Lepisosteus oculatus: one gene and its partners. The protein of the gene in region 4 purifies or fractionates together with the protein of the main gene of each other region. This does not show direct contact. Links are inferred from orthologs where the notes say so. Each region holds a gene or a part of one and is shown on either strand. Other genes may lie near its edges. The genes, in order: tfdp1b, rbl1, lin54 and lin37.

What was found.
Region 1: the proteins of lin37 (region 4) and tfdp1b purify together in Homo sapiens (co-immunoprecipitation; 3 studies listed by BioGRID and IntAct, with this or other methods). This does not show direct contact. The link is inferred for Lepisosteus oculatus from reciprocal best matches to the Homo sapiens genes LIN37 and TFDP1.
Region 2: the proteins of lin37 (region 4) and rbl1 purify together in Homo sapiens (affinity purification with mass spectrometry; 3 studies listed by BioGRID and IntAct, with this or other methods). This does not show direct contact. The link is inferred for Lepisosteus oculatus from reciprocal best matches to the Homo sapiens genes LIN37 and RBL1.
Region 3: the proteins of lin37 (region 4) and lin54 purify together in Homo sapiens (affinity purification with mass spectrometry; 4 studies listed by BioGRID and IntAct, counting the BioPlex papers as one, with this or other methods). This does not show direct contact. The link is inferred for Lepisosteus oculatus from reciprocal best matches to the Homo sapiens genes LIN37 and LIN54.

What each region holds. Positions count from the first base shown.
Region 1 is NC_090710.1:28,862,674-28,870,144, forward strand, and holds the start of tfdp1b (transcription factor Dp-1b), read left to right. Parts: upstream 1-4,468; 5' UTR 4,469-4,673; intron 4,674-4,719; exon of another isoform or gene 4,720-4,921; intron 4,922-4,927; exon of another isoform or gene 4,928-5,084; intron 5,085-5,503; exon of another isoform or gene 5,504-5,609; intron 5,610-6,772; exon of another isoform or gene 6,773-6,810; intron 6,811-6,921; 5' UTR 6,922-7,002; coding exon 7,003-7,014; intron 7,015-7,471. Other genes in the region: tmco3 (transmembrane and coiled-coil domain-containing protein 3), read left to right, coding at 1,058-1,171. UniProt on the Homo sapiens protein: Can stimulate E2F-dependent transcription.
Region 2 is NC_090711.1:748,726-756,105, forward strand, and holds the start of rbl1 (retinoblastoma-like protein 1), read left to right. Parts: upstream 1-4,378; 5' UTR 4,379-4,845; coding exon 4,846-5,010; intron 5,011-6,637; coding exon 6,638-6,771; intron 6,772-7,040; coding exon 7,041-7,241; intron 7,242-7,380. UniProt on the Homo sapiens protein: Key regulator of entry into cell division. Directly involved in heterochromatin formation by maintaining overall chromatin structure and, in particular, that of constitutive heterochromatin by stabilizing histone methylation.
Region 3 is NC_090698.1:27,535,357-27,543,173, reverse strand, and holds the start of lin54 (protein lin-54 homolog), read left to right. Parts: upstream 1-4,810; 5' UTR 4,811-4,994; exon of another isoform or gene 4,995-5,502; intron 5,503-6,101; exon of another isoform or gene 6,102-6,323; intron 6,324-6,329; exon of another isoform or gene 6,330-6,545; intron 6,546-6,625; exon of another isoform or gene 6,626-6,752; intron 6,753-7,817. Other genes in the region: cops4 (COP9 signalosome complex subunit 4), read right to left, coding at 1-39, 124-227, 1,203-1,354, 2,213-2,292, 3,734-3,807. UniProt on the Homo sapiens protein: Component of the DREAM complex, a multiprotein complex that can both act as a transcription activator or repressor depending on the context. In G0 phase, the complex binds to more than 800 promoters and is required for repression of E2F target genes.
Region 4 is NC_090722.1:10,937,195-10,944,614, reverse strand, and holds the start of lin37 (protein lin-37 homolog), read left to right. Parts: upstream 1-4,411; 5' UTR 4,412-4,497; intron 4,498-5,259; 5' UTR 5,260-5,303; coding exon 5,304-5,337; intron 5,338-5,784; coding exon 5,785-5,860; intron 5,861-6,057; coding exon 6,058-6,108; intron 6,109-6,579; coding exon 6,580-6,609; intron 6,610-6,751; coding exon 6,752-6,837; intron 6,838-7,146; coding exon 7,147-7,307; intron 7,308-7,420. Other genes in the region: proser3 (proline and serine-rich protein 3), read right to left, coding at 168-301, 539-624, 1,401-1,522, 1,655-1,800, 2,412-2,713, 3,087-3,195, 3,454-3,464.

The DNA of each region.
Region 1 (7,471 bases), on a different chromosome or scaffold from region 4:
GCGACTCTGTCAGTCGCCACTCCAAAGGCCAGTCATCCTAATGCTCAGTGTAACAGCACTTTATGTATTTGTGATTTGTAATTGACATATTTAACCATATGAATTTATGATGCACAATTTTCATCAAAAATGTGTGTTTTGAGCTTTGGAGCAGAAGGGATTCTTTTTCCTGTCATGTGCTTTGCTTTTATCGGCCATGACATGTTATCATGTAGCTAGAAAGCCTGCAGCTGACGGAGAGAGGAAGCCCGTGCAATAAGGGCTATTTTAGAAGTGCAGATATTTACAACAAAAAAATGATCAACATTCGAAAAGGCATCCTATGATGTTGCATAATGTGCTATGCCTCTTGCAACTTCCTTCCTTTGTGTTACATTGCTGGTCCTGGTATCTAGACAAGTGGAGATAGAAGCCTTTATTCGAAATGAACGGCACTGGGTACTGCAATAGTGATTAAAGGAGATAAAAGCACTTAAGTGATTCTTTTTATTCATGCATCTTTATTATTTGTTTTTCTAATTGTGATGTAAGGGAGTGCTCTTTGCCAGTATCAATGGGTTGCATATTTTTTAAAAAAATGTTCCGTGTCGGAGCATTACAAAATTAACCTCTTTATGTGCCCAAGTCCTGTTTTTAATATTTTGCTCACCAGGGCGTGACCAACAACAGAAGCACCGATAACTGCACAAAACAGAAAAGGGAATGCAAACAAAACACAGGGCGCCGATCAGGCAAACTGATTTGACTAATTCTGAAAAGGGGGACGGTATACTGCAACATACACTGCATACACATTTATTGTCTTATGCAAATAGGTCTGTCGCCCGTATCAGCCCTGCCTAAAGGATATTTTACAGAAACCGGGCAGGCCCTGCCAGCAGTGTTGGTTTGCATTCTTTTCAGAAAACCCTGGAGTTCCAGGTAATGGCTAAGCCCACTGTAGAAGGTACTCTGGTGGCTGACGCACGGAGAGGGAGGAGAGCTTGAAAGAGGCGGGAAGGTGGTGCTTTGTTTTTGCCTTCCTTGCGTTCTGTGACGGCGCTCTTGCGTGCTGCAGGTGTACCTCCTCATTCTGAGCGTGACCACCCTGAGCCTGCTGCTGGCGCCCGTGCTGTGGAAAGCCGCTACGCTGAAGTGTGTCCCCAGAGCGGAGCGCTGGACGAGCACCTGACTGTGGCGCCTCTCCTCCCCGCCGCTTCGGATCTGGGGCCGGTGCCGGGTCCGGCTAGAATTCCGTTTCCCAATCATCGTTTTCATTGGGTTGGGCCGGTCGCCGTGACAACACGACGCTGTATTTCATCAGACACTTAACGTCCTGAATGTATAAGCGGGAGACCCTGCAGTTTTGACTGCCTTGGCCAAAGGAGCGGTCACTTGAGTGTGAAAAACAGCGTGATGAGAGAGTTTGGATCAGTAATTTCGATTTAGTATTTTTGTACAATGTCCAAGGCGAAACATTTGTGGTTTCTGGGAGTGATCATCCTGGGTAAAGCATGACTTTTTAACAAAAAGTCTTGTCAGTTCAAAACTGATTTAATATAAACACTGTGTCCTGAACAGTCGGGAATATGTGTACATATAATTTGCTCTTATTTGGTCTGTCTTTAAATTATTTTGACCTACAAGTGTTTGACGTTCCCTGCTTCACCTAGAAAAGTCTGTAATTTTGAAAAGAAAAGAAAACTGTAGAGAAATATAATAAGGCTGTAAAGGAACTCGGGAGCAATGAAGAGGGGCCACTTGCTAAAGAAGAAACATCTGTCACAACGTGGACTGAAGATCCATTGTTGTCTGTCATGCATGATATGTCCATGTTCACACATGGAGGGCCTTCAGCTGGTTGAACAAAAGCAGAAGGCAGGATGCACCAGCTTGTATGTAAATATTGGCACTTTTAGAGCTCTGATATAGCTTGCTTATTATGTTTGACCTAACTTGTCTGAGCAGGTGCTTCCTGTAGGATGTTTTTAATGTGAAACATTATTTGAACCAGTATAGGAGAGCTAATTTGGGGCTTACAATGTTTGTGATTTGTAGGGTTGTGTCAGTGCAAAGGTCTATATTTTTGTATGTCATGCCTTATACCTGCTGGCATGAAAAATAGTTCTTGAAATTCCTAATCGTAGCCACAGAGCATGCAGGCCAAATCAGTTGCTAATGTTGGTTACATTACTGACATTCCAATCCTGCTGATGACACTGTTTTGAAATAATTTGTCTTGAAAGATTGCTCAGGTTCAAGACCTACTCTTTTTAAAAAGCATCGTAGCAGCAATTTCACATTAAACTTTATTTTTTTTAATACTGTCAGAATTCCTTAATTCAGGCTGCAAATCAGGCAGTTTAATTTAGGTTTAAACCGTTAATTGGTTTGATGTCCTCTATCTTCCATTAGATCAAAAGACAACAGCTAAATTAGGAAGAAAAACAATAGATCTTCGATCAAAATTGCACGCTTCTTTTACCGAATGCTTGTTTTAGAGTAATATTTATTTTATTCTATTTTCAAAAGAGTGGACCCTTTCCAAATTATGAATGGCATAAATTATTGGATTAAAGACATGGTCTGCGCTGTTCCAAGGCTGTCTTTGATTGAAGTTATCTGTCTAAACCTTTTTGTGTTGTCTGAGCCCTTACGGTCTGAATCCTTCAGTTTCAGAAAAAATGTAAAATAAGTGCCTTACAATACATTCCACATCTCCCTTGTGTTACCTCGCCATACACTGCATGGATGTCACGGTACCTTTAATATGCTTGCACCTACGTACTTCTTAGTCCTTAAACTTCATCAGCATACTGTAAGGGGGTTCTTAATTCTTTGACATGGGTTTTCTGGCCTGTGCTCAGTATGAAGTAAAACTGGCCAATTGACCAGTTTTCCGCTTGCTTATGTCTAAAAGGTTTGTGTGTGTTTTCCAGATGCTTTAAGTATCCGTTACAAAATCTGGACTTTCTGCGTTAGTCCAGTGCGGCGCAGGTAATAAGGCATCCATGATAGTCATCCTTCTCATTCTAAGCACAACCAAAGAAACCCTTTTAAACACTTACTGTGGCTTTTGTTTTTCTAAAACACAGAAATGTGTAACAGTAAATTTGAAATGGGTTTTGTTACCAACGGTTGCCTTTTTGCCAATTCTCTTTTACGTCCTGTAAATGTAAAGCGCTTTGCTGCTAAGTGTTTACATGGCTTTCTGCTGGGATGCAGATGAGCATGGCTGCTCTTGCTTTGAATGCATACCGGAGGCACTGATGATGCTTTGCTTTGCAGTGCTTTGGCAGTCAGCTTGGGAAGAATTGTGTGATTACAATAAAGGGACCCATTCGGGACCTAGAGCGTTCATGCTCCTCAATAGATTGCACTTGTGAGTTTAAAGAAGGTACAAAAGTTTTATGAAGTTAAATTAAGGTGTCAGGTGTTGTTCCAGTCTATATAGTGCATCACATCCTGTGACCATAACACTAATATTTTTGTAAGGGGAATGTTTAAATAACTTTATTCAGAAATGAAATATAACTTTTTTTAAAAACAAAGTGGTAGCAGTGATTATTTTATTCGGATGAATCAGATTTCAAGCACAAGCGTTTTAGGAATCTTTATTTTTTATTGGTTTAGAAAATGGTGTTCAACGATCCAGACTATGTGAATTTATTTTGTTGTCCATCTAATGTAATGTGACTTTTTTCATTCCACGCATATCAATGTGTAAAGTGCTGGGAAGGATTAGTGGATAAATAAAAATAATAATAAAATAACATAACATTGGAATAAATGTGAAGTATCATTGTGATTTGTTAAAGTGCTAAACCACAAAGCTGTGAAAGTACAAAGTGGAATGTATCTTATTTTATTCCATGATGTAGATTACTTTATTAATGACCGACAGAGAATGCTGTTTCCCTGCCAGCATTCCTTGTTAATATTCCAGTTAATCACTGGGATTACTTTAGGAAAAACTGCCCGGTTGCTTTAGCTCAAGGCTTCATTTTAATAAATAACAATAGTTACAGTATTATGCCATCTTATAGAGAACTTAATTACACCACTTCTCATTGTTGAATAATTTCCTATCATATTATTTCCGGACTATCCAGCTCTGTTTAGGTTATTTAATTTAACTCTCAGATGTAATTTACAAACATTCCTAGTGTTTTGAACGGGTATGTTATCCTTGGACACCTCGGGCTACTGTAACATTTACTATGGAAATCGGATACATTTTTTTTACACATCGAAACCCAAAAAAACAAAAGCCAATCCGATCCCACCAGCCACCTCTCCACTCCCAGCTCCCCCTCTATCCCATAACCCCCCGCGCCAGGTGCCTCCACCAGAGCGACGGCTTTACCGCCAGCCATTGCGAGAGGGGGAGGCGTGGCCTCCCCACCCGCCCCCCCCCCGCCTCCTCCCGCCGGCGCGATGACGTCGCCCCGTGCGTGCCCAATGGGCGCGCTCGTTTTGTGGACACCGCCAAGATCAGTTTTGTCGGCCGGAGAGCAAGGAGCACAGCGCGCTGGAAGAGGCAGGCTCGAGTTGGGAACCTGGCGCTGACAGGTTCTAAGAAAACACCGGAGCGCACGGGATAAAAAAAAAAAAAAAAACATTCCGTGGGTGGAATCTCCCGCGCCGCGCCACGCCACGCCGGGGCAGGGTTATGAGCCTCGGGTTTTGAGCAAGTAAGTGGCGGACGGACCAGTAACCACCCCCCCCCATCCAGCGCAGAGCAGAGCGTTTCGTTTTACGCGAGGGAGTAGTTTTGACACAGATGGCTGAGGCGACATTGCAGGCGAGCGCCGGAGGGGTCCGCGAAAGTTGAATCCTTACGCCAGGATTGCACGCATGCGAGCGGGGACGTGGGCGATGCTGGCTTCGCCGTGGCCCCCTGCGTGACGAGGGCTGCAGTCCCGGCTTGGTGTAGCCAAAGGTCTTTTATTCCCCACCACCACCTCCCCTCAATCCTCTTGGTTCTAACGGCAGTGAAAGTCGGTGTGATCCAGGTCCCAGCTGGGTTACTGAAGGGGCGAAACGACCTGGGCTTTTTTGTTGTTGTTGTTGTTGTAGCTTTGGGTTTGACGTCCCGTTCCAAGGTAAACACAAACCTCTAGCTTCCTTTGCGGCGGCGACCCCGGCTCTCTGCCTCCCCAAGCACGAGTTATAGCCGTGGTCTGAGATGAGACGGGCGATCGGGACAGAGATGAACTAGCCGCCGTGCCTGCCCTGCACGCTTGAACCCGGGGGAGACGGCCCCCAGGACAGGCGCCGGGACCCCCACGGCTGTGCTGCCGGGTGACATGCCGGAGCCGGGACGGGGGCTCGGAGCAGCGTGCGGCGGCGGCGGCCGTGAGAGGCCAAGATGGCAAAGCGACCATTTTGTCGAGGACGGGCTTTCCGAGAGCACGCAAGGGGCTGCGTTTTGAGTCCTGCGTGTCGGCGGTGTAGCTCGGGGTGGCGTTAATTCTGACAGAATGGCAGACTTGGCCCTTTTTTGTGTGTGTTTTCTTTTCAGTTTGGGGTTTCCTGTTGGGTGTACGGGTTCAGACCACCTCTTCCTCTCCCACTGCCAGCCAGCCAGCGCAGGAGCCGGAGTGCAGCTGAATGACGCCGGGGCAGTTGTAAGTTTGTTGCAGTTGATCGGAGGTGGTCGGTGCCTTTTTGTTTTTGGTGGGTTTGGGGGGGGGGGGGGGGGGGGTCGTTTTATTTTCCGATGAGCTGGCGAAATGAATTCGCGTGTGGTGGCACATTGTAGCAATCGGGGCGTGCAAGTTCAGATGTCTTAGATTTTTGCTGTAACCACCTTTTGGTTTTTAAAGAGGACGTGCGTTTCCGCGTAAATACTTTTTTTTTTACCGAAGGTGCAATAGGAGGATTTTCGGGCAGGTTTTAAGTCCTCACCCCCCCCCCCCCATCAAGGGGACACGTACTGTATCGCCGAAGCAGGTTGCAACAGTGGCCGGATTAGTCCGGACTCTCCAGTTTCCAGAAACGCGTAGGCCTCACGTCGCCTGTTTTTCTGAAGTTGGGACAAGCCGGCACGATCCAGCCCAGTGTGTTCACGGCCTGGAAGCGGGCTCCCATTTCGCCCAGAAACGGGTTTTGTTTATTTCCGACGGTGCACCTTTTTGTGTTCACAACGCCCGTGCCCGAAGGAATGGAGATGCTGGAGTGCCGGCCTGCTCGGTGAAAGGGATTCAACTTCTTTGGGGACGGAGGTGGGGGGGTATCTTTGCAAAAAAAAAAAGGGCAAAACAAAATGAACATCGTGCTTCCTGAAAGGGTTCGCGTTTTTCTGCACGGTGCAGGCTCTCGGGTGCTGTGCCCACGCGTTTAAAACGATACTCTCTCAGCTAGGACAGACCAACCGGAGGCCTAGCGCTTGTTGGGGGGGCCGCTAATGTTATTCAAACGGTCAGGCTGACACCCGGACACGGCTTGCATGTCAATGACAGGGGACTCGTGTCCCTTGTGCGTTAAAATGGACACCACTTTCACCCGGCGAGCACCACCGGCGCTTTGGTGGCAGCTTTGTAGCCGCCTCCTCCTCCTCCTCCTCGTCGTCGTTAAGGAGAGAGTGTGTCTGTTGGGTGGTGTTGACGGTGTTCAGTCTGGCCTAGAGGGGGGTCTCTCGGGGCCCAGCTGTTGAGCTCAGGGGTGGTGGGGGGGGCTCTCAGTGTCTGGTGTTTTTATTAGGCGCCCAGTACCTTTCTGGAGGGGGTCCTGACAAGGCCAAGAGACACCCTGAGCTTTGATGTTTTTTTTTTTTCCCTTCCTTTTCCAGCTGAACTAAATGAACACCTCTCGCGGGGAGCTCGAAAGGTAAAGCCTGCAGGAGGGCCGGAGCCCGGTCCGAGTCCGAAACGGCGCCCCACCCACCCCCAACCCCCCACGCAGGCGGGTTAAAACCGGGCTGACTTCTCTCTCTTGCAGGCAGGCCTTCGCAGAACACCCTGAGCCGTTTTCTCTCCCTCCCGAGACGCCAGCGCATCCCTTCTCCCAGGACTCGGTATCATGGCGAAGGATGTGAGTGAGGGGGTGGGGAGGACACTGGCAGGGGCGGGCTGCGCCTCGGCTCTGTGGCCAAGAGGCCTGGGCTCTGTGCTCTGCTGTTGAGACGGCAGGACCTTCTGCCATCGGGTGGGGTGGGAGAGAGAGAGAGCTCATTCCTCATCCTCACTCTCTGGAGGTTCTCTGTACCCTGAAACGTCGAAGCAGAGCGTCCTGGGTCTGTACAGAGCCGGCCCGCATGCGTGCGTTCTCGGTAGGGCTTACTAGTCGTTGACACGACCTCGCCATTTTTTTTTCCAATCCCGATTACTTCCCTCCAGGATTTCGGTCGCGTGGAGCACCGGCCGGCCGTTAAACCCTCCACACGCCAGGCCGCGTTTGGCAGTCTCTTCTTGCAGGCTCGTGGCCTGGGTAGCACCCCCAGCGCACGCCTGGGCTCTGCCGAAGATTGTGGGTTTCGTGATGGCAGGCT
Region 2 (7,380 bases), on a different chromosome or scaffold from region 4:
AGTGAGGGAGTAGATGAGCGTCAGTGCTGCGCTGCTGCAGGAGTGAGGGAGATGATGAGCGTCAGTGCTGCGCTGCTGCAGGAGTGAGGGAGATGATGAGCGTCAGTGCTGCGCTGCTGCAGGAGTGAAGGAGATGATGAGCGTCAGTGCTGCGCTGCTGCAGGAGTGAGGGAGATGATGAGCGTCAGTGCTGCGCTGCTGCAGGAGTGAGGGAGATGATGAGCGTCAGTGCTGCGCTGCTGCAGGAGTGAGGGAGATGATGAGCGTCAGTGCTGCGCTGCTGCAGGAGTGAGGGAGATGATGAGCGTCAGTGCTGCGCTGCTGCAGGAGTGAGGGAGATGATGAGCGTCAGTGCTGCGCTGCTGCAGGAGTGAGGGAGATGATGAGCGTCAGTGCTGCGCTGCTGCAGGAGTGAGGGAGATGATGAGCGTCAGTGCTGCGCTGCTGCAGGAGTGAGGGAGATGATGAGCGTCAGTGCTGCGCTGCTGCAGGAGTGAGGGAGTGGACGAGCTGAGTAAAGATTGAAGGAACAGGTGGGAAGTTTCCCCTTGTGTCCAGTGCAGTGGAGGAGTTTCTACTGAACACGAAAGGACTAATGCACCAGCAGAGTGTTTAGCTTATTGTAAAGTTTTAGGGTGTCCTTTCTCCTGTTTTACATATGAAGGTAGATTTGATAAATCTATTACTTTTAAATGATGTAAAATCTATATTTTATTTTTACAAGGTGCCCTTGTAATTTTGTTTAATTCATTATACTGTGTTTGACACAATCAGGACCAGTTGTCTCCATGCTTGTAGTACTGTCCTTTCCACTTCATAGTTTTACCTCTCAGTAACTTCACACCTCGTTGATATACTAGTGTTTGGCATCTCTCTTTATTTTATACTGAGAGGCGTTTAGAAAGGCGATGAATGTTACTGGATTTGGTATTCATTTGTTGCGTTTTTAAAGCTTCTGAGTCCGTTTGCAGCTAAGCCACTTTGACAGAACAGTTGATTTTCCTGTGTTATGTTACATGTTACATGTTTTTGCACAGAGAAGCAGGGCGTGGCAGGCTCACTGGCATCTGGAGGTTTTCTTTGTGGTTTTCCTAGTGTGGAAGCTCACCTGGAAACTGTGCCTCTTCCTCATCCACAGCAGGTTCGCACTGTCATCAGTCTCACTTTTCACAACTAGCATTGATGTTGCCTTGAAACAGCTGGTGGCTTTTTCCTATTTTCTTATTTATTTTGTTTTTTGTTTTTGCTTTTGCCAAACGTTACCAAATATAATGAGAAACCATTATCATTATCGTCCTTTGTTATTATTTAGTTATATTGGAAGTACAAAATGCCTTATTTAGAGTTATGCCTATGGATGTTTCTGTGCATTTCCATATTTGAAAATGTATATAAAAGTACTTAGTGTAGAACTTCATTTTATCAAAACTGAAACCTGGTCTAAGAATCTCACTGGCCTGAGTTCCTTGAAATTTCCCTTTAGTTGTATGCATACTTTTTTTGCTTTCTTGGTAACCTTTTTGCTTCTGGATTTAAAAAGCAAAACGCACAGTACATAATAATAATAATAATAATAATAATAATAATGCAAAGACAGGTGTTCCAATCTGATGCTCTTAATATTTTCTCAAGTGATCTCATAAGCACAAAAATCTGAGGAATTTCACAGATCTCTGCTGCAAGTTCACATGAATGTTCTTTTGTTGGTGAAAAGTGATTTTAAGCGATCCCTTTTTTGTGCTTCCCAAAACTGTTAGACTGCCTGAGCATGGTGTTACTAATTCTGAGTAACTTGGCACGTTTGCGTGTCTTCACCACCGTCATGATACTTTTCAAAACCCCGTTGAGCTTGGCAACAGAAGGTGTGTGCATACAACTAAACTGGGTGGCGCAGTTTTAGTTTCCTGCCCCTCTGACACAAGTCTGGCTGGAGCGTTTGGACTCTCCTCAGAAAAAAAGAAACAGTTCCCTCAGCTATCACGTCGGCGTCGCAACACGAAGACAGTGGGACAAGCCCAGCAGCAGCTGACCATCATCACCCGCTCACAGACAGGACCTGTTCCCTGCGTTTGCTGGGAGAAAGACTTGAATCTCTTCATTGGAGCAGTAATTAAGGGCAGCCGAGGTCACAGAAACTGTTAGTATTTATTCAGTTTACATTCTGTCGTTTGTCGCTATTTACCATGTTTGTATTTTTTTTTCTGTTACAGTCTTGCTAATTTATCCAAAGGTCAGATTGTTTTTGGAGTCGTGTGTATTTCAGATGTATTTATTGTACACTTCTTTCTTACCAGTATCATTTTTATACCTGTATTCTAACTTATAAGGGGTTCAGAAGGAAAACCTGCAGGATCCAAATCTCTTTTCGACACTGACGCTGTTAGTTTTCCTTAAAAAAAAAAATCTTATTTTTGCCTCCAGTGGAAGCAGGGATAGTTTGCAGCAGATTAAAAATGAAACTTTATTGTACTGAATAATGAATTACTAGGCAAAGAATATCCAGGCTGTCTGAGTGTCTCACTGTCTGTGACTGTCAATCATAGCGTCTGTGTCTGTGTACTGTATTAAAGCACCTCCAGTTAGACTTATTTCCTATGTGAGTCGTTTTCCATTAATAAATAAATGTGAATAACAAGCTATTTGAAAGTGGAGTTATAATAAAAAACATATTTATATTCTTGACCTGCAAGTTCTTATTTTTATCCAGAATTTTTTTTATTTCTCATTTTTGTTTAGGTCAGGTTTTTGTCATTTGTAATTAGTTATGCACTGGTATCCCAGCACCTGTACTGTACTAGTTAGAGCACAATACTAAATAGTACATAGTATAATTAGTAATGTAATCCTACAACACTAAAATCACTTATTTACTCCAACAGAAAGGAAAGAGGTTTCCTTCTGACACAAAGCCCTATCGTTTATCAATCATCACAGATTTATGACTCTCATCTTCGGCTGATGGTATACTTTAGTAACTAATAATGTGCGATCTGTTGTTCTAAAACAGGGCTCTTCAAGGTTAATTGTCAGGAAACATTTTGGTATTTTACCGAATTTGTCCTTGTAAATGTCCCATTGGGTGGCACTGTGACACTGTGGTTAGCATTGCTGTCTCTCACCTCTGGGGCCCTGGGTTCAATTCCAGACCTGGGGGTGCTGTCTGTGTGGAGTTTGTATGTTCGGCCTGTGTTCATGTGGGTTTCCTCCCACAGTCCTAAAAAAATACCGGTAGGTTAATTGGCTTCTGGGAAAACTGGCCCTGGGTGCAAGTGTGTGCTTGTCTGTGTTTGTGTCTGTCGTGAGATGGATTGGCACCCCATCCAGGGTGCATCCTACCGGAGGCCCGTTGCTTGCTGGGATAGGCTCCTGCTCCCCCGTACCACTGAACTAGAAGAAGTGGTTAAAAAATGGATGATTATAAAACCCTGACATCACTGGCCATGCCTAGAGCATAAAGTTAAAACGAGCTGGTGTGTCTTCTTGCAAGCACACATTTTGTGTCAACAAGCAAAACTGTCAGCTTAATTCAGACAGTGTGCCTCACAGAGCCCTGTTTAGTACGGTGTTTAGTTCTGGGAGTTTATTGCATGAACAGACAGTGTGATGCTCAGATGGGGCTAAAGGTTTTTTGGACCACAGCCACCTGCACTGGAATTGTAGTTTTCTTTTAATGCAGTGATGGCCAGTGGTTAGCCACCCGGGTGTAATTTTTTTTTCTCCCTGAACCCAAGACTATTCCGGATTGTATGCTACAGAAGCAGAGTGTGTTCTGTGTAGATCTGAAATCTGCCTCTGCAGCTTTTACGGCGTTAGTTTTTATTTTGTTGAACTAGCTCCTGTATTCCCATGTGGACCAATCACATAACTCAAAACATGGTATGTGATCTTTTATTGTGCAATAAAAGATGACTTTCAACTTTCACTTTAAGTGTGCCTTCTGCTTTTGTGTTAGGGGAACATAACCTGTAAGAACAGAGCAGAGTTGAACAGAACAGCTAGAATGGAATATGAATTTACAGTCTTTTATTGTTATTGACTTTGCTAGCATAAGCAGATTAAAGAAAATGACTGCAAGCTGAACCAAATTACGTGAATGTGAAGTTCAAGAGTTTTCTTTCAGTGATTTCTAATTGGACAGCAAGCATTGAAATATACCTGATAAGGACACAAGAAATCTTAATGAGGGGAGACTATCTAGTGCATTCACCTCGTTTGACTGGCAGTTTGATGTCATTGGGTGTCATTTAGCTCTATTCTTTGAGGAGCTAGGGTGTTACATTCAACAGCATGGGTCTTAGTATTTGTCACTGTCAATACCACAGTTCTCACCATAAGATACTCTCATTTACAATTGAGTCTTTATTATCCCCGGGGGAAGGGGCAAGTTGTTTTACAGCAGCAGTGTTGGTGTACTGACGTACAGAAGAAAAAACCGACAGGAACAACAAAATACATATTTGCATGGAAGTCAAGTGTTAAATAATGATATGGTTACGGGTATGAATGATTTAAATCGTTCAAAAATAATCTTTTAAAACATTGGAATAACCTAATTACCAAATTCAGAGTTGACCGACTTCTCTATACCTTTATCCAAACTGTTAATCTAACGGAGGACCGATACAGCACCACATTAGAGACAAAGACAGAAACTTCGGTAGACTACAGTGTGTATCCTGGGGCCGCCATGTTTGAGCGGCGGCGGTGGAGGACGGGGTGGATTTTCGCGCCACTGGGGCCGCGCGGCATTGTGGGATAGCGGTCCTGGAGCCGGAGGGACGGAGCGGGGGGCTGCGCTGAGGTAAACAGGCTGCGCTTTCGGCGAATAGACCCGGCGGCGGAGAAATGCCCGAAGTCGGCACGGAGGCCGGGTCCGAGCCCCGGAAAGTGGACGAGGGCCACGTCCGGCGGACCCTGGAGGCGCTGTGCCAGGAGCTGAACATGGACGAGCAGACGGGCAAGGAAGCCCTCCAGAGTTTCACGGCCATCTGGGACACATACACCCTGGAGGTGAGGCAGACCCAGGATGCGCCGCCGCTGCGACGTCTTTACGGGTTTTATTTTTTTAATTCCAAACGCAGTAAGCGCCCGGGAAGCTCTCTTCGGCAGTGTCCGTGTGTGTGTGTGTTTGTCTGTCTTATTGTCGTTTTGTGTTTTGGTGTCTCTCTCGCCCCCCTCCCCCCGGAGGTCGTTGTTAGCGCGCAGCCGGCGGAATGAACTTCGGCAGCTGAGCTGCACCGCCAGGGTCGCGCAGTCTGTAAACAACACACCCCCGTCTGTCCCCCCGAAACGGGTCTGTTTCCCCGCACCCCCCTGTCTTCCGCCTCTCCTGTGCGCAGCGGAGGAGCAGGACTGTGCCCGCCCGGCGACTCTGTGTTTGTTTACGTGGGGGTCCCGGCTGACATCGCTGGCCCAGCCCGGTCTGTTGTGTGCCGGCAGCGTCAGGGGGAACATGTCGGAGTTCCGATGTGATTTCCGAACCGAGGACAGGGGCTGGTCGGGGCTTTAAAGGGAAGCGAGGGGCGTGTGTGGGAGACACGGGGCTGCCGGGGCGCCATTGGCCGGCGCGGCGCAGGGGGGGGACGGCGTGTGTTGTTGTGTGTTGTGTGTTGCTCTTGCTTGTGTTCGTAGTGGCAGGCTGTGCGCATTTTCAGTTCGAGGTCTCGAAGCGCGAAGTATTTATTATCTCAGAGGCGCAGGTAAAGGTGATTTCCAGGCTGAAAAGGAAAGCAGCGTTTTCTCTGCGGAGCCTCCTTCATGGGGCACCTCTTTTTCAGCAGGGAATAAACCTTTACCTGTTCCTTTGCAGCCTAGGAGAAGATAGGAGATCACCTCATTAGCCATACACAATTTCTTCATAAGAAATACATTTTAGCCTGGAATAAATTTGTCTTTTCGCATACACCAAGTTGCTCTCCATGAGACACACGGACAGGGAGAGAAGCTTGGGGTCAGAGCGCAGGGTCAGCCATTGTACAGCGCCCTGGTGCAGCTGGGGTTAAGGACCTTGCTCAGGGGCCCAACGGAGTAGGATTCCTCTGCCGGCCACGGGATTTCAACCGGCAGCTCTCCAGCCACAGGCGCAGATCCTGAGCCACAGAGCCACTGCTCCGCCTGCGCATGCTGATGCAGCCAGCTACTCGTATTTCTTCTTGGTAACAGTGATGCTTGTTGGGGAGTCGGTAGGTGTTCAGCATCTTTTTAAACTCGGAGCAGTCTCCCTCCCCCCAAAGAAAAATCTGACCAGGCTGGAATAGACATTCTTGAAACGCAAGCTGACGATGGCTGTACCCTCCCATCTGTGATATGAAGCCCACACCCATTCACGCATGGAAGGAAAGACAAATCCAGGAGCTCTGTGACGGGGGAGAGGGGGGTTTCCTGTTTATCCTGTGTGTAGCTGCTCTGGAGGTTCTGGTCTGTGATGCTCGTCCTAAGGATTGTTGTTATTAGGTTATACCATGTATTTATTGTTTTGTTTATTGTCTGTACATTCTGTCACTATGTTTTGTAATGTATTGTGTACATTGTGTGGTATCTGCTGTGCTGCGAATGTCCTGAGAGAATAGTGTGGATAAGAATCCTATTGTATTTATGGGAAATAAGATAATATAATAATATTCTGCTCATCCTGCAGGGTGAAGTGGCACACTGGCTCGCCTGCTCTCTCTACGCCGCCTGCAGGAAGGGCTGGACCCCCACAGTGGGCAAGGGGGTCATGGAGGGCAACTGTGTCTCCCTGACCAGGATCCTGAGGTCCTCCAAGCTCAGGTGAGCCCCCACTCTCCCCAGGTCACCGGATTAACCTTAACCGTTACCCTTTTCCGCCCATCTGAACGCCAGCACTGCTGCTGTAAAACAAATTGCCCCCTCGGGGATAATAAAGACTCCCTCTCAGAAAAGACCAACTAAGAATGTTTGTTTTTTTATTCATGTGGTCTAGAAAAGCTGTTCTAACATGTGTCTCTGCAGTTGAATTCCCCGACATAACCTGCTCTGTTTTCTGTCTCCCCGTTTCTTGTCTCTCGCCCGGACCCCAGCTTAATACAGTTCTTCAGTAAGATGAAGAAGTGGGCGGACATGTCCAGTTTGTCCCGGGAGTTCCGGGAGAGGATAGCACGCCTGGAGAGAAACTTCGAGGTCTCGACCGTGATCTTCAAGAAGTTCGAGCCAATATTTGTGGACATGTTTCAGGATCCTCAGGGGGAGCCGCCTCGGCCGGCCCGAAGCAGGAAGCACAGGTACGACCCCCTCTCTGTCCCCGCGCGGCCTTGGAGCCGCCATCCCTGCAGCAGCTGGAGCGTGGGGTAGTGTTGCTGTTTACTTCAGAATGGCCAGTTCCTCTCTTCTAATACTCCACCAAGGTGGGACTGATGTTGT
Region 3 (7,817 bases), on a different chromosome or scaffold from region 4:
TTGAGGTATGTGTCTAGCTTGTAATCTACATTGTACTGCCTGGGAAACAGACAAAAAGAGTAGTGATCATTTCACCAGTCCGGCACAGCAGAACTCAGTAAAGTAACTGAAGACCCCACTTACTTCTGTCCCGTCTCCAAAGGAATTCCAACTAGGACTTGAGCAGCATTCCTCCAGTCCTCTTCTTTCTCGTAAATTGTTGCCAGGTGTTGCCGGATAGATGCCACCTATCAACACATTAAATCAAAGAAGGAATAGACTTAGACCTTAGAAATGGGTTTCTATGGTCTGCCGTTCATCACTTTAAGACCAAAACCTCGGCTGTCGCTTGCATGTATTCATCGTATCATGTGAGTAACAAGAAGTGTAAAAAGCACTTGCTGCAAGAGGTGAGTCTGGAGAACAGACTCACTATGAAAGAGAAATAGTTCCACCACTCAAACAAATCAATAAATACAGCAGCATAATCGGATTTTGCATAACATCACATTCATGCACAGATCGGATACGTGATTAAAAAGTTAAGACAATCAATGTGAGAACACTACTTAGCCATTGAAATTTGAGCCAGCACCTTCACTATGGTTTGGCAAGAGACCAAAAGACAGACTTCTCAGGTATACTGAGTTCAACTACAACTTTTTAAGACATGTATTATAGTATTTAAGGCCACGACAGTGGTGAGGAAGGTAGCACTGCTGCCTCACAGCTCTTATCTCCTCCAGGGTTCGATTCCTGACTGGGAGATCCTTTGGGTGGAGTTGGCATGCTTCTCTCACTTCCAGTTAGGCTTTCTCTGGGTGCACGTTTCCTCCCTCCTTCCAAAGCCATGCTGGCTAAGCCAACGAGCGTCTCTAAATTGTTCTTGTGTAAGTCCCCTGCGCTGGTGACCCGTGTATTTTCATCTGGTACCCTACAATCCAGGACAGGCTCCCTGTTGCTACAACCTCAGCAAGGATAAACAACTGACAACAAATGGGTGGATTAATAGATTTGTGAAGAAAGCATGTTGTTTAATTCCTTTTGCAACTTAATAAAAGATGTACCCTTTCCAAGAATTAAAAGAGAAGGTTGAACGTCAATGTCACAACACCAGAGCACCTCAATAGTATAACAGGGGACCTGTAGCTACCATAGACAGTAGGGCGAAGGCAGTGCCCACATATGGTGCCAGAAATTTTTAAGAAGAGATATGCACCCACCTGCTCTTCAAAGGAGATGACCCTAGGCTGGATTTTGTCTAGCGTGAAGTGGTACACCTCCTTAGCTGTGCTGTCTGGGAGGTTGGGGAGGTGAGTGCAGAAATCTGTAAGCAGCTGCCTGGAGATCACCAAGCTGACATTCTCATTAACCACTGGGGAAGAGAGAGAAGACCCGGTACAGTGACACATACCCTACCGACACGAACATTTCACTCAGCACAAGAAGTGCTGACGTGTTACATTGCACGAGAAGGGACTATTATTTTTTTTTAAAACCCAAAATGACCATTTCAGATCAAAGACTACTTAGATCCACCTCTTACAAGAACAAAAGAAAAAAAAAGCTGCTTGAAAGATAACAACAAATGGCTTTCCTGTACTTTTGCTATAATCTGGACGGAGAAATTTACACAAAACTGTATTTTAAGAAGAAATACAGTCCCAGTTTCTCAGACCGGGTTATTAAATCTTCATAACAAAATAAATTCATTGACGTTACAGAAAAAATTACAAATTTCAAATGAAGCACAAAATCCTGAACTTTGTGAAAGTAATGCAAGTCGCCATGTTGTCGCAAACACAAACTGCGATGTGATGCAGCCCTTCCTGCTCATGTAATGTGATGAATACACAAATAAGTACAGGTTGTGCAGCAGACATTTCACAACAGGAATGTTCCAACGTGATATGCATGCAGAGTTAAGCAGCATTTGTTGGCAAAACAGTCTAAATCGAGAGCAATATTTCTATTGGATTAACTTGTGGCTATTTTGTGATGTAAATTAGAGGTTTTACAAGCTACTGTGTTCATTTTTCTTTAATTGTGGTTTGAAATGCACTCTTCAATGCTGATTCCTTCTAACCCCGAAATATAAAAATAGCATTGCAGCTCCCCTTTAACACACACATAGCTTAAGTTCAGCTTCTAATATTTCAAAGCAATATAAACCCCACTTCACACATTCCTAACTGAATGGGACGACAAAAGCAAATTCTGCAGCAGTACTTACTGGCTTCAACAAATGCCTTCAAAGCCTCCAGCTGCTCAGCACCAGTAAATTGAATGGCCTTTTCAAGTATCTGTCGGTACCTGTAATAAGAAATTGTTTGTAAGTCAGTAGCACTGGTGTGGCAAAACTTATTCCACAGGTACTTCCAGAGCATAATTGCGATCACTGCAGTGTTTGCTCCAGGACACAATTCACACCATCTTTTCCTAAGAAGTTTTGACATTAAAAAAGTAAACACCTAATCAGAGACAAAATATGTAAAATATAAATCAAACAAACGTTTCAATAAAAGCTTCAATAAAAGTCTGAACATTTTCCAGCTACATTAAAGGAAATACTCACATTTTTCAGTCAACCGTTCACTTGAGGAACATTGTTACAGCCAAGACAAACTATTCCATATGTATCTGTCTACATACCCAGGGGATAAAATGGGATTCACTCATTCGTGAAATTAAACAGCAGGCTGAATAACTCCCATTGCACTAAAACATTATGACTTTATCCAAATGCTATTTTTAAAAACAAGATCAGAATAGACTTGCCTAACAAAAGGAAAGCAACTGGACAATGTTATATACTCGTCTCCAATCCAGGAGCCTCAATCCAGTAAACCTAATTAGGCACAACATAAGGGAACACTTGCATGTTACTGATCAAGTAAGAAAGTCAATTAAAAGCTCAATTAAGGTAGTGCTGACATTTGCAGTTCCAAATTATTTATTTATTTAATACTGTATAATATCCTAGAATTGATAATAATTCTAAGTGTTTGAAAAAATTGAAGATCAACATGTTATATAAAGCCTTCTGGATAGGAAGTCTCCAAGAATATAGCTGGCAATGCTTTTAATATAAAGCAAACTAAAAATTCCTCATGCTCTCGAGGCATGTTTGTGCACAATCAGTTGGTCTTTGTTATGGAAGTAAAAACAGTTGGATGATGAATCATTTTCATGTGTTTTGCAATTTTGTTAACCCTGTTAGCATCTAATTGTATTTCATAGCGCCACTTCATCAATAAACCTAACTATCGGGCCTAAAATACATGATTTTGGTAAATTATTCGCAGTGTAGAAATGTATCTATCCACAAATCTTGAATATTGCTCAAGCCGGTTAACTATCGGACGTTGAAATATAACTTATTCACGGCGTCTTCAAGGAGCTGATCAGTCTAAGGTCTCCTCATTCAAAAGCAATTTTAAATAATGTTTACGCACCGTAAATTATATCACGAAAGAACCATTATATACATAATATTATTATTAAGTATATAACTCTTATCAACAAAAAGCTTAACCTTGTAACTTCCGATTCAATTTATACATCTAAAATGGTTTTACCAAAAAAAAACATCTAGGTGAAAACCCCACTCATTCATGACACTGCGATTGTCACATCACTAGCCGGTACCCAGAACCGCTTTACTCAAAATGCTGGAGTTAATGGGAGGCCTAGGATACCGTCCTCTTCTCTGAAAAGATGTGCTCTTTCAGTTTTTAAATTTTGTTTTACTTACTTTCCAGCAAGATCTTTGTGAGATCCGCTGGAGTTCATGAGCTGAGCCAATTCCTGTCGGACAGCCGCCGCCATCTTCTCGCCCCGAAACACCAACAACGACTCTTTTCTGCAGAGGCTGCAAGAGGGAGTATTCTTTCCAACCAGAAACAAACCTAACGGCTGCCGGATTGCAACGCCTCGGTCCTCCAAGCGGACGAAGAAGGCGCCGAATCTGTCAAAACACAACCAGGAGACCAAACTCGCTCTTGCGGCTACGTCACTTAACCGCGCAAGACACGTGTCGTCATTATGGCGCGCATCCAAAGACCTGCAAAATACTACTCCAAAATAAAAGCCAAGTAATCAAAAAGTTTTCGAATACGCTGAAATGAAATTATGTGTTCAAAAATGTTGTTTGTTTGTATATATATATACTTAAATAGCTGTTTAAAAAATACAATAACAAATGGGCCTACTAATTCGGTTAACATAAAAACATGCTGTTTAATTATGTATTACGTCCTGAAATTTTAGAACTTTATTTAAAAAGATGGACATTTTGAACTTTGTCCTTTATTTTTACATGATGTTAGTTCACCAGCAGTGCACATTTTTAACTGGTGTTTTTAACAAAAATGTTTTATTAAAAAAACTAATGTTTTATTGAACATTAATGCAAAGGAGAAACAATATCTAAAAAGTAAACGAAAAACACAGAACTATGTTGCTAAATAAGTTAACATTTTTACATAAATCGGTTATACTTTTTGCCTTGCTATTTTTAATTGTTTTGATTGAGTTTAAATAACACTGCATTTCCACATTATCTGCATTAAATCAGAGTTTCATTGTACCACTTTGATTTGTAGATGTGATACCCAGTCAGTAGTGATAACAGATTAATTATACACTTTTTATATTTAATCTTGTAAAGTATAGCATAATATCAAACTTCTTAAATTTTAGCTGCAGTGCACTTTTTAATATTAAAAAGTGGGAATGACGAAAGAAGAAGGGAGTGGGGATGGGAGGGGGGTGTCTGCACGTCGTGCGTGCAGTGACGAAAGACGCAATGCGTGGTTTCCAAGGAGGGCGCGGCAGTATTATGGGATGGTGGAGGTGGAATGGCGCTCGGCGCGTGATTTTGAACAAACGTCTCCGTGTGTCGGCGGTCTGGATGCAGCAGCGCAAAGCCGGGCTCGGCTGGGGTTGTGTTGAAAAGATACAAGAAGGCGCCGACAGCAATCACAGCTGGACACGGAGCGCATCGGGGATCTCCAGTAAGACTTGCTCGGGGCAAGCAAACACATCCCAAACCGAGAGGGACGGCTGAGGCATTATAAGCACCAGCTTCCACTGACTATTGTAAATAGCATCCAGGCACGGAGCCCGATTTCGTGTCTCCGCAACAAGAGAACGTCCTGGCCTGACAAAATGTCTCCACTTAGGCTGTCAGATCGGAACGGATGCTCGTCGTGAAGTCCATGAAATCGGTCATCGTTGTTTATTCTTAGCTACATAGGTCTTTTTCCTGATTATTTTCACTAAACAACACCTGCCCCCGGACCCAGGAGAGAGTGCGAGAGAAGCGCTAAAGAGATGTCGATGACAGCCAAGCCCATAGGTCACCTACAACCCTCATTTATTTGGTAGTACAATAATCCGTCTGATTTTGCGTTTCTTGTGACTCCTGTGTCCCATGTACACGCGTTTTCACCCTGGAATGCGTTTTATTTTAAAGAACCTGTAGAAAATCGCTGAATCAAGGGATTTGTTCACGAACAAGGGGTAGGTATCCATTTTCCTCAGTTGTTACAGATTGTCATCCTCAACGATTGACAGCTTAGTGGTAAATTCAGGACGTATTGGACGCCGATGTAGGAATACGGTTTTATTTGATCTATGCAGATCTGTCTCCTAACCGCTTTTAATCTTGTATTATATAACTTTATATACCTTTTGACAGTTTTAGTTCCAACGATCCCTTTTGTACTTCCTACAAAATCACATCACTGAAGTGATCAAACCATAATTTTGTAACAGGTTTTTAAACATAGCTTTTAGATGACTACTTCTTGTCATGCATGTATTGGTTTTAAACAACGCTGTTTTGTCTGAACTGGAACTTTTGTTATATTTAGGAATTTCGCGTTCTGTGATTGAATTGTATAACCACTATAATACGAGGCACTGTTATTGCAAACTTTATTTGAAAGTCATCTGAACCGAAATATATTGCAGCTCGTTTGATATATAACTGTGTGTTTGCCAGCCTATTTTCAACAACGTTTTGCTTTAAAATGAGCAGAAAGCCCAGGCTGCTCTCGCGTGCGGGGACTGGGCTCTGCGGTGCGGCTCTGCGTGTTTTTGTTGATCTTCCTGTTCAGGAGAAGCCTGTGGAGTTTTTAAGTTGTGAACTTTACATTATTTCGTATCATCCAGGAAATGCACAGCTACGTGCTGTTTACGGAGCACTTAGTTTGCTTCTCTTGAACCGGGATCTGGGGGCGTCCCCCCCTTCCCCTTCTCTGCCTTTTATTTTCGTTTCGTCTTGTTTTCGTGGGGCTGGCGATGTTGGTTCTTTCCTGTGAAGTTGCACTGATGACGAGGTGAAAATGGCGGATCTTTCGAAATCCAATCCCGGCCTGAAATAGAAACATCATAACATTCACAGCAGGCAAACTGTCAAGTCAGATTTTTAACACAGAGCGAGAAGCCAAGGAATCGTTCGTTTAAACAAACTGCCTTCCGGGAAGTGTAAAAAATGAAGAGCGAGTCTGCGTCTCCTTTTTTATTTAGACCCGCCGGTATTAATTTGGCGGATTGTTGAGGTAGGACAAAGATTATTTTTTGATCTTCAAAGGCCTAGCTGCTGTCTCTCTGGACGGTTCATTTGTTAGATGTTTTTTGAAAAAGTTTTATTTTAGGCTGCCCAGGCATACGTCTCGCGTTTAGCAGTTGTCAGCTAAGTGTGAATGTGACCCTTTTGGCCAGCACAGCAGAAGTTCGTTTTCTCTCCAGCTTCATTAATAATACAGGTAGACAAGGCTCTTATTATTTTTCTGTGCGGCTTGAAGTTGATCGTTGCAGTGTTTAGGAGACCGGTGTTTTTTAAAGATCTCTGGCTGAAAACCCTTAATTACGATGACATTTTTCCGAATAAAACCAGTCTCTTCCTCTTTGTTTGTATAGCTTTTGCGACAAGATGACTGTCCTTTTCTAGCAATGGGTGTTATCTGTATCCCGTAGAGCAAGACGATCTCTTGTGTAATTCCGAGACCCCTTGATAAGTATTGGCGATTAAAGCCTACGTAGCATAAAATAATTGTAGAGTTAGTTGGTCTGTTCTGGCGCTAGGTTTAAGAGTGACTTTCCTAAAGCGCCTGTCACTCTTCAGGAGTGAAACACAATCGCTTTCTTGCCGTCTTGTCAGCTGGACTCGTCGCTTGCACACCTACTTAAGACAGGTCTCTTCCGCAGAAATGGGAAGCTTGCATTGATGAATTCTTCTCTTTGGCGAAAGGTTCCCTGAAACGGATTTATTCCATCAGTAAAAATACTGCCTGTGCAGTAACTGCACAAAATTAACTTTTTTCGAAAGGTCTTCGTTCATATGATTAAGATTTGGAGTGAAAAGATAGCACAAGAGAAGGAAGTTAACTGGATTTGGCTAGGAACAATAATATTTGAATGTGAGCAAAATATACAACAAAAAACGTGTTGTACCAATGTTTTTTTTTTGTAAAAAAGGAGATTCACTAAGGAAGTTACTTTTGGTTAAAATAACCCACCTCCCTCTGCAGCCTGAGTGGAGAAAAGGGGCTGGAGTAAATCAAAATTTGAACCACCAGCCCATCCTGAAGTCTGCAAAACGTAATGGTGGTTTTCCTTTGAGCTGGAACAAGGTGCCCTTTGGCAAACCGCTTCATTGGAGCATAAGAAACGTTACAGATTAGGCCCATTTAGTACGGCGTGGTCGTTACTCATCAAGCAACATGTATCGTTTTCCGATTGCAGTAAAATTAAAGTTTGGATTTGACTCTTGGTCTAAGAGTAGTAAGTACTGCACAAAAAAACGGAACAGAAACAGGTAAGGCAGGAAA
Region 4 (7,420 bases):
GCTCAGCTGTGATTCACAGATCCGGCAACATCCACAACACATCCACAGTTTCACTCCCAGCAATGATGGAAGGGACCTGCTTGGACACAGAATCACATCTTTCTCATCAACCCTTCAGAACCTCCAAATCCCATTCTTCAAACTGCACCCCCCTCCCCCAGACCTACCAGTGGTAGGGTCGAGGAGACTGGGAACCGTGGGCCTGCGGACCGGCTCATCCATGCTGAAGCGGGAGGACGAGTCCAGGGTGCCCAGGCCTTCAGAGCTCACAGGGATGGAGCTGCTGCTGAGAGAGGTCTCGCTGCCGGGACATCGGACAGGAGAAACCGCCGTCAGGGGGGTGTGGGACAAACTACCACCCGTCCAAGGATTCAGACTCCTCAGGTGCACGTCAGCCCAGCGGGCTTGAGAGAGGCTCTCGAACCCGAGCTCAGGAGAGGAGAACACGGGACATGCGTTTGTAGCGGAGACCAGAGGCAGTTGCGCTGGGATGCGTCAGGGAAGACCCGTGTGCCAAGATGCTGCCAAGCCACCCTACCTCCTCTGCACCAGCCGCCTGGCCCTCTCCTGGAGCCGCAGGATCTCCGGGTCTCTGGGGTCACGTGGGGAGCCGTCCGACAGAGCCTGGGGGAGCACAGGCAGGGAACACGGCCCACACCTTCAACACCATCATCATCATCATCACTGAGACAGCAGTGTACTCACACACCCTCAACACTGGCTCAGCAATGAAGACAGGGCAGCAGGAAAAAAAATTCTCAAAGCTGTTATGGGGCATATAGCCCCAGTACCATCCTGCCTGGGGATCGTAATTTAAGTTAGGATATGGGGGGGACAGTATTCAGTCTGATATTTTTTGTATTAAGTTACATTCTGTGATTCTGTTTCTCCTTAGGAAAGGAGTTAAACAGCTTCAATCTATAATTTCACTCCAGCAGTTATATCACCCTGCAGCTCCCAGCTGGCAGCCCACTGGAGCTCAGCAGTGTGAGCCTGGTCAGTACCTGGAGGGGAGACTCCTGGGAAAGCCGAGGCTGCTGCTTGAAGAGGTGTTAGTGGGGCCAGTAGGGGGCACTCACCATGCAGTGAGGGCTGCACACTGGTGGTGGTGGAGGGGGTCCCTGTTTCCTAGAAAGCACTGTGAGTGGAGTGCCCAGAAAAGGAATTTGTTTTGAGCAGGTCTGCCTGCAGTGGCAGCTGTGCCCACTTGGTGGCGAGAGGCTCCTGCTTTAACTTTAATCCCCCGAGTCCCTGCGCTGGATCTAGACTGTTTAATGGCAATGGGTTGAAATTAAACACCTCGCAGCCCTCAGCCCCCAGGCCAGCCTCCTGCAATCGGCCGCAGCGTCAGGCTGGGCCGGGCAGAGGAGGGCGGGAGCAGACCGGGGAGACGGACTCACCGCGGGGCTGAGGTCCAGCGCGGCTCTGGGCGGGGAGACGGGGGGGCTGAGCCGGGACCGCGCCGCGGGGCTGGGGGGAGAGGGAGAGAGGGACCGCGCCGCCCGGCGGGCCGTCGAGGAGCCTGCAAAGACAGCGCGACGCAGAGTGAGGCCACGGCCCTCCGCTCCGTCCCAGGAATCAGTCCCCAAGATCCCTGCCCCGGGAACGCCGAGCCGGCAGAGCACAGGAGAGGGGAGAGGAAAGCGGGGCGCACCTTTCTCGGACGTCAGCGCAGAGGGGGAGCTGGAAGGCGGCGAGGCGGGCAGCCACCAGAACCGCGCCCCCTCTCCCTCTGAGGCTGCGGAGCGCCGGCGCTCCTCTCGGCTCTGCGGCCGCCCGCGCCGGAAGCGCTCGACGTACCTGGGGAGGAGACGCGGAGCGGTCAGGGCAGAGGGGCGTCAGCGAGGTCCGCTGGGAGCCTAGTGCACTGCAGACTCGGAGCCTGATGGGCCTCGGATGTCAGAGCCCACAGCTCGTCAAGCCCATCCAATTAGTTACCGGGAGCTGGGCTGAACGAACAGCCACAGACCATGAAGCTCTGGCACAAGGAGGCCCATCCCAGAATCAGAGCCAGACGCTCCGGAAGGGCAACACAGACAGCTGAAAGGAACAGGACTCCCGTTTTAGTCCTGGTTGGAAGGGATTACACATAGGACCTATTGAAAAATCCTGAAAGGCTGCTGACGAAGTCGACCCAGAAGACTATTTCGGCCCAGTGGACCAGAAACCGTGGACACAGGTGGAAACTAACAGGGCGTGCATCCAGGACTTCAACCAGAAAGCCTATTTTTACACCAATGGTGGTGGTGGGAGGTATCGAACTGTGTGCTTGAAGACAGTTCCCCGGGATTATTCAGGAAACAGCTGGATGAGATAACTGGATCCTCTGAGCTGCTAAGAAACCCATCGAGCCAGATGGGTCCCACGGCCTCCCCTTGTTTACAACCCTCACTGGCCACCGTACACCTCACCTTGCCAAGACAGAGTCTTCCCTCGGGCCTACAGGTCCTGCCCAAGCCTGGGGCTTTCCTGCTGGGGCTGCAGGCGGAGGAGCGTCGGCGCCGGGGGAGGGGGCGCAGTCGGCCCCCTGGGGGGAGCCGAGGTCCGTGGAAGGCCAGGACTCGGAGAAGCTGGGCTGGGGGTCTGCGGCTGGGGGGCCGGCCGGGAGCAGGCGGTTGGAAGCCGCCAGCAGGAATCGCTCGTCTGCGGGGCTCAGCGTGTCCGGCGGTGGGGGGGGACTGGGGGGCCGGGAGAGACGGACGGGGCTGAGGGCCTGTGGGGGGCAGAGAGCGCGAGAGATTGAAACTGAGATGGCAGGGGAATAGGCTAGAATAAGTCTGAAGGGAAGGAGGGATGGAGGGAGGAGACAGAAAAAACAACAGATCTTCTCTCTTACTCTCAAGGGTTATAAATCTGGAGGGCTATTATAGATTAGCCCTTTCCTCAGTATAATTACTTGGAGAAACCAAGGCTCCCTTTAATACTGCAACCAAAGCAGATCAGGTTGTCTCTCTTGCCATCCCATTCAAAACGGCCTGAACCAAACTCCAGACATCCAGTTCCGGCAACGGGTTTACTCAGACAAGCCCTGTAGCAGGCAGCGAGAGCTGGAGCGGACCGGCTCAACTCCCACACCCGGTGCTCACCGTCCTCCTCTCCGGCCTGGGCAGCGTCTTGGCACGGGAGGGGTTGTAGTGGGTCTTGGACAAGGGCGGATCGGGAGGGAAAGGGTTCTGCCTGGAGAACACAGCACCACTGTGGAGGGGAGAGGAAGAGCAGGACAGGTCAGTGTCATACAGCACCGGGCTCCACCCACACACCACACACACACCCACACCCACACCCCCCCCACACACACACGCCAGGGCCAGTTTCCCAGAAGGCAATTAACTGTCTTTGAGCTGTGGGATGAAACCAGAGCACCTGGAGGAAACCCACCTGAACACAGGGAGAACATACAGACTCCACACAGACAGCACCCCGGGGTCCCAGCGCTGTGAGGCAGCTTCTCACCTTGATTTCATGTCTCCTTCGATACGTGCTCGCTGCCGGCGGCTTCTCTCCCTGTCCTGCCCCGACCTCCGCGCTGCTCCTGAGCGCCAGCAGCCGGCCGGGCCCGGAGGAGGCCCGCAGACCCGCACGCTGATCCCACGGCCACGCAGGCACCTGCTAACAACCTCACGGCTGGGGGCTGGAGGCTGGACGCCAGGACGTCACGCCTGGTGCCGATCTATCGCCGCAGTGCTGTCACCGGAATTCGCTTAAAATGAGAAACAAACACCCAGTGCGTCTTGCGTTAGTTTAGTGGAGGTACAACTGAGCTTTTCTGTTGCTTGTACTCTGAAAACCCTCAACTGTGTGGTATTATGAAAGTTTCAGCACTATAATAACCGATTATTGTTGTTTTGACTGTCAAAAGTGATCCGTAACGAAGACGGTCACGAGTTTTAAAACGCCGTGTTTAAGGGAGACAAATAATAATTTTACAACAGGCCTTCGTGTACACGTAAAGAACCTTAATCTCCAAACTGCGATACCGTGTAATAGCTGTCAGCTGTAAAAAATAAGATGCAAGTTATTTACCTCCGCTCTCTTCGAGTCTCCATTTCACCCCAACCGTAACCAAACAGCGCGCGCTTCCGGAGGCTCCGGCTCGTCGCCCGGCAACCGCACCCAATGCAGCCAGTGAAAACTACGCTTCCCATAATGCATTTAGGTGCTTTTTTTAAAAAACTATTTTGAGAAATAGAAAATAAGTTAGATTATAGATGGAAACAAAAATAACCCTGAATTCACCTTTAATGTAACACAATTATGGTTTTTAAGGCTCCATATGAATGAAAAAGATTCATCTTGAGCTTGATTAATATTCTGGGAAATGTAGTTTTAGAGCACAGACAGGCGCTTTCCCCGTATTAGCCAATCATATTGACGTAATTCGATGAGTGACAGGATGATTGAGCAATGAAAGTGGGAGGCAGCCTTCGGTTTCCACCAATAGCTGAAGAGTGATCGGGTTGCGCGCGGAAGAGGAACGTCTTTTGGGAAACTGTCTGGGTAAACAAAAATATTTGATTTTAAAATGATGGTGTCTTTTTAAGTTGTCACCGTTTCCTTACCGAGGTGTTTTTGCTGTTATAGCACATGCAGCCTTGGCGATATACACAGAAATGAAAATTGTTTTGCTTCCTAAATGACGTCTACGTGTAAAGTCTATGTGATCACTTTGCTTTTTATAACCGTACCTACGTGGTCGGGTTTGATGTCGCTGCGATCTGCACGGCTACCATGAAAGGGGATCAGGTCTATTAATTAACTGTCTTAGTCAGGGAGGAAGACGTGCGGCAGGACTCTTTCTTTTTTGTCATACCATTTCTGTAAATGAATACAGTGCACAATAATATGAAACTCCTCTGCATTGAAAACTTTAAAATGGGCACTACCCTGCCGCTCCTATTGGCTAGGGTTGGAAATGACGCCTTAAAGTCTACGTTAAATGAGTACCCCATAACGTAGCTCTCCGGTTAAGTCTGCAGAAACCGTCAGGATTTTGATTGCGCTCGTTAACCGATCGAGTCGTGATAAGTTTAATCGGGTTATGTCGGCGATCCCGCCCGTCGCCCTCTCTGTTTTGGGATGTTTTTAGACCTGGAGGGGGGCACGGTACTGTCCCCCACCCCGGGGAAACCGGAGCCGATCTGGTTCAGTCAGGTTCTGACCTGTTGGTCCCCGTTGTTCCTCGGGCTGCTCCTTTTAAAGAAGTCTGCTCTTTGCTCTCTTTTTACTTGAAAGTGACTTGTCTTCTTCCCGGCGTTCCAGGAGAGAAGGAGCTGTGGCCTCCGAGCCTCTCGGGCCGATCCACCATGCTGCCCATGAAGATCAAAACTGAGAAGCCAGGTGAGGGACGTGGAACGCAGCCACAGTGGCCTGGGTCGTTCCCGGTCCACTTTCCTGCCTCTTTGGTGCCGTTTGACCCTCCAGCGCCAGTCGCCCATAAGCCCCAATGCAGATCGGCGTGCTCTGTGTGGATGGGAGTCTGATCTGTTGGCCTTTGTGGCCATGAAGAAATTAACCTCTCAGACTGCGCGGTAAATAAACACACAAGCCGGGCGTTGGGCTGGGGCTCGGCTCAGGCGTGCCAGCGGAAAAGAGGCATTATTAGTGTAGCCTGTGAAAATAAGGCAAAGCACTTGGGATAACCCATCGGCAAGCTACTCGCTGTAGTCATTGGCTCTGTAGTACAGGCCAGGAGCCAGACCCTTGCAGGACAGATATGAACTACGGGTCACCATTCGGAAGCCACTGTTCTCAGGGAATAATGATCTCCTCTGTCCCCTCTTGCAGATGTGGAGGCGGTCAGCGCCAGGAGCAGGCTGGAAGCGGTCCTGCAGGGCCTGGTGGAGAAGAGTGACAGCGAGAGGTTCGTGACTTTGTGCCAGATCAGCATCTTAAAGACTACGGCTGTACCCAGCTGCTTCCGAGCAGGTCTGGTGACACCAGGAGGACAGCCGGTCCAGTGGTTCAGGTCCAGTCCTGTTACACCAGGAGGACAACCGGTCCGGTGGTTCAGGTCCAGTCTGCATACTAATGGTGCCTGTTTTACTCTGTGTCTTGCAGGGAGCAGAACGAGGAGGACTCTGGGAAGATGGGAGCAGACTCGCTGAGCAAGTAGGTAGTTGATCTGAGTTAATGAGCATGTGGTTACTAAACATGAAGTAAAATTAAAGTTGCTTCAGCCACTGAGCACCATGCAGACATCCCCTTCTCTTTCTTTTCTACACAATCAACAATCTAAGAATAATAATCTGTCATTCTTGATGTCAGACAGGAGTTTGTTTCCCTGGGGAGGGTTTAAAATGCTTCGCACGGTCATTTGGAGAGTAACGTCACTCTGGATGAGGAGTGAGCTCCAGGCTTTTGTTTATTCCTAAATCATTCCCCTCTGAATCTCTGGAATGCCCTGCAGCCGACAGAAACAGCACAGGAATCTCGGTGCGTTTATTGTCCGTAGGATTTGTGGGATTGGGTGCTCGGCAGCCCCTTCGGGAGCCGCGGGGGAGTCGTTTCTGTGCCGTGGTGAGATTCCAGACGTTCGGCACATTTCCTCTAATTCGTTCTCCGCTGTGCTTTGCTCCGCAGGGACCTGTCTCCGTCCTCCGCGGGGAAACGGTGAGTCTGTGGCGGTGGGCCGCCTGCGCTCAGGGGGGAGTGGGGGCCGTCGGGCGGGGCGCTGCAGAGGGAGGTCTGGTGGCGGTAGTGATGATGTCATCGGGACCCCCTCGCTCACGCCTCTGCGCCTCTCGTCCCGCAGGCCCTCCTCGCGCCTCCCGCAGCACCGCCGCAAGAAGAGGAAGGAGATGGACGACGGGCTGGCGGAGAGCAGCCAGCACAAACCCAGTGAGAGCGGCCCCCTTCGCCTCTGTCCTCTCCCCCCCGTGACCCCGCCTCCCTCGTCACCCCCTGCCTCTGGCCCCGCCTCCCTCGTCACCCCCTTCCTCTGGCCCCGCCTCCCTCGTCACCCCCCGCCTCTGGCTCCGCCTCCCTCGTCACCCCCGCCTCCGCCCTCGGCTTTGTCTCGCCTGTCTCTCTGCCCCACGGGGCCACTGTTTCACGCACACTCTCTGTCTCCGCCTGTGTTTCTCCCCGTCTCTCCTGGGACGTCCCACTGCCGGCCTCTCTCTCCATCTCTCCCTCTCCCCCCGGCAGACACCTACATCATCAAGCTGTTCGACCGCAGCGTGGACCTGGCCCAGTTCACCAGCAGCACCCCACTGTACCCCATCTGCCGCGCCTGGATGAGGAACAACCCCTCGGTCCGTGAGAGAGCGGGGTCCCCCAGCCCCCCACCCAGCCTGGTGGAGGAAGAGGTGAGCCGCCAAGGTGGGGGGGTGGTGGGAGGGGCAGAGACAGTCACAGCCCTTTACACAAAGCGTGGCAGGGGTGTGAAACAGCTGCAAGACCTCCCTGGATCAGTGAGGCA